Oryzias latipes: one gene and its partner. The protein of the gene in region 1 interacts with the protein of each later gene in a biochemical or structural test. Links are inferred from orthologs where the notes say so. Each region holds a gene or a part of one and is shown on either strand. Other genes may lie near its edges. The genes, in order: bone morphogenetic protein receptor type-1A and bmp4.

Evidence for each region.
Region 2: the proteins of bone morphogenetic protein receptor type-1A (region 1) and bmp4 form a complex in vitro, tested with the Homo sapiens proteins (3 studies listed by BioGRID and IntAct, with this or other methods). The link is inferred for Oryzias latipes from reciprocal best matches to the Homo sapiens genes BMPR1A and BMP4.

Annotation. Positions count from the first base shown.
Region 1 is NC_019873.2:12,328,567-12,332,885, forward strand, and holds the start of bone morphogenetic protein receptor type-1A, read right to left. Parts: upstream 2,897-4,319; 5' UTR 2,686-2,896; intron 1-2,685. UniProt on the Homo sapiens protein: On ligand binding, forms a receptor complex consisting of two type II and two type I transmembrane serine/threonine kinases.
Region 2 is NC_019880.2:7,812,175-7,815,324, reverse strand, and holds the end of bmp4 (bone morphogenetic protein 4), read right to left. Parts: intron 2,357-3,150; coding exon 1,503-2,356; 3' UTR 683-1,502; downstream 1-682.

The DNA of each region.
Region 1 (4,319 bases):
CAGCCCTTAAAGTGAAACAACAAAAATCATATTTTATGACAATATGAAATCCAAACAAATATTTATATTTCAACTCAGAATCTCAGATTGATGTGTTAACGTAACTAGGGTATGTCAACACATACACTCAGCGATTTATCTGCAAAAAAAAAGTTGGCTCTTGTTTTAAAAAAACAAAAATGTTTGAATCAGCACCATTCATTCAACAAACAGTTAAGACCTGCAGTTTCAGTGAAACGGCTATAATCCAACATCACACATGAAGGACTCAATGGCAAAAATAAAAAAAGACTTGTACTTAACAACAATTCCAAGATTCTGACAGAAACACACTAATCTTAGCAAAAAACATAGATACAGGCATGACATCTGCCTATGATGCTGAACAAACGTAGACCCAAAAACTACAAAAAAGCTGGACCAAGCTCAACCCCCTGTAAGACACCACAACAAAATAATCATATTCTATCTGACTACGGAAAAAGTGGCCAACGACAATAGAGAGTAAAAACAAAACAAAAAAAACCTGCCAGATTTATAAAACACCCACTGCTCTTTTGGGAAGTAGTGTGTCTCTGTCATGATGTCACTAATCTATCTTTTACAATCACATTTAAAGGATTCTGTCTCTTAAAAGCTTTAAAATGTGATTAAAACAGCCATTTTCAATTTGTTTTACACAACCATATTAAAGTGTCTTCTTCAAGTAATAATTAGTCAAGTAAGAATTGTTATTTATTTGTATTATCACTTTATAGATTATAATCATAGAATGTTCTGAAGACCCACTCTGATAAAAATAATGTTTTTGGTGTTTTTAACATGTTCTTGTGGCATTTTTCTCATGACGGAGGACATAAATAGATCCAAGTACTTAATTTCCCTGGTCTGAGCTCGTATGTGGCTCAAAACTGAACATCTGGATGATTCCAATATTGCTCCTCATTTTTGTTGCACAAGTTTAAGGGAGATTGTGTAAACAGATGAATGACGGGAAGCACAGACAAGCTTACTAGTCTGCACCAAAAGCCGATGAAGTACTGCCGCTCAGCAGAAACTATGTCCTAAAAAACAACAAAGGTTGTTTTTTGATTGGCTTAAAACGGCATATTTATAATTAAAAGACCACTAGGAACACTTTTACAATAGAGTCAATGATGATTGGACTTTTAAAAAAAACTGAACTGAAGGAGCATACGTCAAGCTTTTAGGACAGAAACTGCTCTGATCTAAGAACCAACTAGTTTCAGTTAAAAAAGAAAGCTAATCGTGGTTCAGTTGGGTTAGGATTTTACTCCAACACAAAACTAATTGCTCAAAACTGCACATTATTTCACTGATTAGGCAATCAGTTTGATAGGATGAAATAATCAAACATATTAAAGACCATCACATAAAATAAAGATGACTTTAAATGGAAAATAAACAGGTCTGAACCAAGAACAGCCCCTGAGGACAAGAGGGAGCCGTTCTGTCTGAAACCCTAAACCACAGAAATCAATCAACTTAAAATCAATTTTAAAAGGTATAGGCCAGATTTGTCTGGAGATTAAAAAAACCTGAACAATCCAGGTATTAAGAAGGCAACAAACATAACGACCAAAACATGTTGACAATAAGAAAAAAAAAAAAAGTTTTACTTCAACAATACTGGTCCCAAGTATGGCAAAAAAGAAAGCCCCGAGTGGAATACATTCGAGGTTTTTCCAAAAATGTCAACAAACTCAACGAAGGCTTAACCAGGAAAGTTTGCGAATTTTCGCTAAACTGAATGTGGGGTTTTGGAGTTTGGAGAAACATTGCACTAACACCAAAACATAATTAAAAAAAAAAAAAACAATCAGAGTTTGTGTTCCGGGGCTGATGCTGGAGGCTAAATATGTTTGGCAGTCTCCGACACAAACACACAACAAGCTACAAAACGAGCGCGCCACAGGTGGCTCCGGGTAGCGCGTGCACGAGAAGCAATAATTTCAGGTAAACAGAGAAAACCAGCAGAAACTAGACCTTCTCTCTGCGTGTTATAGCCCCACATGCTAACGAGAAACTTAGCTCAACTTTCTCTAACTTTCACACATAGTTGACTACAGACAAACGAACTCACGGACAAACGGGCAAAATTGATCAAAATTATCGGTAACACGTTTTTTCTAACCGTAAAAACTGTTTTATTACAAATAAGTGATATTTGCGGAGTTAGCTAACCGAGGAATGCGGCTAACAAGCGACATCTCGGTGAACAAACTGCGGCAAAGATGATCCAGATAAACTCTCCCGCAGATTTTATTCACTTATCTGGGATCAACAATGCCTGCTTACATACTGATGGGCTTCATCATAGCCTCTTTTCTGCAAAACATTTAATAATCTCGCCGAAGCTCAACAACTGGGAACTTTTTCGACAGCGTTGCCAACAGGATACGACTATTTCCTGGCGCCAAACCACTCACGAAATCTGTTCATTTTATTTGAATTTTTTTTTTCAGTATCACAAACAACTGACAATATATCCCAATGCCGAACTTATAATCTAATAACTACTTCATAAAATAATGTATAAATACCAAGTTTACATTTATTTTCTTCCAGGCTCTATTCGCTATGTGATTCAGCACATAGACGGAGCTGAAAAGTCCAACTACAGGGAGTGAAGTTCGGGGTTTTGTTGGATCTTATCCGCCTTACCTTATCCTCCTGGGTGCCTTATTTACTCCTTGGGACGCATCTCGTTTTCCAGCACAAATCTGTTGTTTAAATCCTAACTCTGAATAGTATTCCGGGATACAGATACGTATTTTCCAGCGGTTTTGCCGTTCTCTCCATGCGCCTCAGTACTCGCTCCTTCTGCGGTTTTCTCTGTTTGACGGCGAGGACAGTGAATCCCAAACCTGTTCGAAGATCGTCTGTGAGCAACGAGACTACTCACTCTAACGTCAAATGAGACAGTCAAACTTCCGGATGAGCCTTTCCAGTTACCTGACTTTTTAATTAGTAAATAATTTAATACAGATTTACATCTGAATAAATCTCTATTATTGATGTTTTTTATCATAAATCTATACTGCCAACATACAGTAAGCGTTTCTTTTTGTGCGCCACATTTATATTCAATTCTATAGTTTACGTTGTTTCATTGCGTTTCCCATGGATGCAGTTCATGTGACTTTTTTGTCTATTAGAAATTTGAGGATAATAACTATTTATAACATCCTGTATTTAAATTACCACACGCTAAAATCATGTTTGAATGTATCTATTCTTTGTGCCTTCTTCTTTTAAAAACTGAAAAAGGTAATAAAGTCTCCGTCTAACCTCCCGGTTGAGTTGATATTACTGTCAGAGTGAGAACTCTTGCCTAATTTCTTTCATCTGTTTTTGCAATCACTACTCTGTCCTGGCTTTTACTTTGAAATTCTGACTTAAGCTTAGTCTGCCTCCATCTAGTGGCTAGTAGCGAAACAACAGGTCTGCAAAAAAAAGAAAAAAATTAAAGGGAAGAGTAAATACTTTTTGAAAAGAGTTTGGTCACAGATAAGAACATAGACGCTGGATTGGTATTATATATATATATATATATATATATATATATATATATATATATATATATATATATATATATATATATATATATATATATATATATATATATATATATTTTTTTTTAAACATTTTAAATGTTCAAAATATTGATGCTCGAAAAAGCAACATTATTTTATGGAATTTAGTAAATGTAAAATTTGAAGTGAATTAGTTTATAAAGCTGCTAAAAACCCAAGTGTTTTTCTTGATTTCAAGCTGTGAAATAATGAAGAACAGGACAAATGCAGATGTTTTTTATGATGTAAGTGCTCGCTTTATTCAGACTGCAATGCTGTAATTCTCCTTGTAAACCTGTCAAACAGTAAAGCAGCATTTCAGAGTGATAGCAGGTTCATCCCAGCCTTCCTGCTGCTCATCACAGTTTCTAACCATTCTTTACAGTAATATTCTGCGTATGTGTCTGGAGGGCGGGGTCAGAGCTTTTTTTTTTTACATCCCAACATGCTGCAACAAACTGCTCTGCATGCACATTCACACTGTCTGACATAAACTGTATAAAAGGAGACAGGGTAAAAACTGGTCTGAACAGAGCAGAAATCGTGACACGCAGAGTTTAGACTGACATCCGGCATTATAAAAACTCCCACAGATGAAACCCTTTCAGTTGATCTGAAGGTAGGTCACACTAAAGCTCAGGATGCTCCAAAGGCGATGCTCTAAACAGCATTTTGTTGCAATTCCCCTTATAGTCACTAGATGCTGCTAAATCTCTTATTTGA
Region 2 (3,150 bases), on another chromosome or scaffold:
CAATTTCCTAGAAAGTTTTTCAAATCTTTTTTAAAATATATTTTTTAAACTAATTTGATGCAAAATGCAAACAAATTAAGTCAAATATGTATTTTATTTTTCTCATTTCAGGATTTTTTGTGATTGAAATATAGTGTAACTTTTATTTAAAAATATTTTTGTAAATAGTTGAGACATACTTTTTTTTACAACGGACAAAACCAATATTATAAAACAAAAAGATTACGTTTATAGTGGTAGATTAACGCCAAGGTACAGATGGAACTTGATTTTCTTGATATATGACATATATATATATATATATACATGTAACGGTATATATATACCATATATATTTTTATATATATATATATATATATACACACCATATTTATGATATGTATATATATATATATATATATATATATATATATATATATATATATATATATATATATATATATACATGTAACGGTATACATATACCATATATATTTTTATATATATATATATATATATATATATGTGTGTATATATATATATATATATGTGTGTGTGCGTGTATGTGTGTGAGTGTTAGGCTTTGCTTATTTTTTCAGATACAAAGTGGGTACATATTATGATGTGACCGATTGATTTAAATGAAGCAGTTCATGTTTTATTTTTTCTGTATAAAACAAAAGCAATAAATATCACCAGTAAATAAACTTTACTTTGTTTTTACTATTTTCTCCATAAAAAAACAAAAAAACAATCTAATGTACATTATGAAAAGTTGTACAGCTTTTGTTTTAAAATAAGGGCTCAATTTGTCTTTAATATGTAGATATAAATATATATATTTTGCCAAAATGTATGATAAAAGGGAAAAAAGTGAGACAAACATACAGATCATAGAAGTTATAAATAATGGTAAATGTTTTTGGGTGGAATTGTTTCTGCTTTGTTTGTTGCCAGTCCAAATGACAGGTTTTTTTTTTCTTTTCTAAAAAAAAAGGTCTTCATACTCCACGGGAACAGGACATTTTTTTCGGCTTCACAAGGTAGATGAAAGAAATCTAGGATATTTTGAAACTAAACTTATTAGAAGTCCTGATTGGGTCCTCCTGCTGTGACATTACACAATATATAATGAAAAAGTGAAAATGCAGTTCATTGAGGAGAAGGAAAGGAAGAATCATGTTGGATTTGTCGTTTTTAGAGCAGGGTCTTCCTTCAACAGTGGAAACCAATCGGCCATGAAAGACTTTTTCAGAATGTCAACCGATTGTTTTTACGACATGGTCCATCAGATAATGCCATTCAGTCAATTTGCACCTACAGACAGAGCTGCATTAACCCCGCCCACTTCAAATCAACCAATCATTAAACACCTTTGCACAAAATACAAAGTTCTGCTTAAAAGTTGAGTTGGGAACAAGCTGGGAGAACTTGAGAAAAGAAATGCAACAATTGCTCTTGCACGACTGGGAGATTACATTTCTCTGCTCCCGCGGAGTATGAAGAGGCTTTCAGTTTGTGGGTCAGCGGCAGCCGCAGCCTTCCACTACCATTTCCTGGTAGTTTTTTAGGACCACCTTGTCATATTCGTCTAGGTATAGCATTGAGATGGCGCTGAGCTCTGTTGGTACGCAGCAGGCCTTGGGAATGTTGTTGTTCACAGAGTTCACCAGTGTCTGCACGATGGCGTGGTTAGTTGAGTTCAGATGATCTGCCAGCGGAAAAGGGCACTCTCCGTGGCAGTAATAGGCCTGGTAACCAGGAGGTGCCACTATCCAGTCATTCCAGCCTACATCGCTAAAGTCCACATACAGAGTATGGCGCCGGCAGTTGCGGTTTCGTTTACGCCCTCGTGGTTTGGGGCTGCGTTTTGTCCGGCGTGTCAATGAGTGACCCTTTCCATCGTGGCCAAAGGTAACCAGAAGAGGGCGTACCTGGTCCCAGTCCTCTCCTGGCTCCTGGTGTAAGGAACGGCTGATGCGGACATGTCGGTGCTGGTTGTGTGGAGTCTGATTAAGGTGGAGAATCTCCACAGCCAGTCCATAATTAGGGAGCCGTTCCCGAGTCCAACGTAGCACAGCGGGGCTGACGTCAAAGCTCTCCCAACGCGAAGCGTTGTGGCGCACAAGCCGGGTGTCCAGAAGCTGCGTGATAAGCTGCCCGGGCCGCGGGGGTTTAAGCACCTCGTATATGTTTATCCGATGAAGGCCCTGGTCGTTTAGGGGGCTATCATCGTTGGCCTCGCCCAGCTGCTGACGGTAGAGTCGCAGCTCTGCGGAAGACAGCAGCTCGTCCTCTGGAATGCTACTAAGGTTGAACAGGAAGCGAAGACGGATGGATTCTGCATCATCCACTTCGTGTATCCTCTCCATGTGCTCTGAAAACAAGAAAAAAAAGTATGTTGATGCATAGAGAATAACTCTGCTGTGTTTGATGTGAACTCTTGTAGCATTAAATTTGACTTTTTTAGAAGCTTACGAGCATTTACGCAACTCAAGACAAACAGTTCATCTCCTCACTCTTAAGCAGGCTTAACTCACATCAAATAATATAAGCCTAGACATCTTTAGGCCTCTAGCGTAACCAGGTAAAGAAATATATATCATCCACACTTCCTTATCTTTCTTCGAGGATTATCCGGCTCTTCTCCGAGCATCTTTTTCTGAGCACTTTGCTGAAACATGCATTACAAGGAGGGTGGTGATTAACGTACCACAGCTACAGTATAAACACAGTGAAGGCTCCCTGTTCCACGCACAGTCTGCAGATTTCTGGCAAGATCACCATTGTTGGGGAAAGGAATGTTGTGTCTACTATTTTCCTGCTCAATCCACCCCTGTTATTTCACACCCAAGCCCTAATCTTCCCCAGGTGGTTCTCATTATTAAAACCTGCTGTGCTTTTGATTAGCACTGTAGTTTGTTCACTTAAGACATTTATCATTTTCATCATGAATAATCATTAAGGAATCAAACAATGCACTAGAATTACACTTACTCCAAGCCTGTGGGAAAGAATGCTTCGCCTGGCTAATTAGAATTTCAAGTATCCACACACCTCACCTCTGTGTTCCGATGTCTGACTAAAGAAGCAGCTGGAAACATCACTTTCCATTACCGAAGGGCAGTCAAAGCCATCTTTAAGGATGAAAAGTTTGCCTTTCCTGTAAAC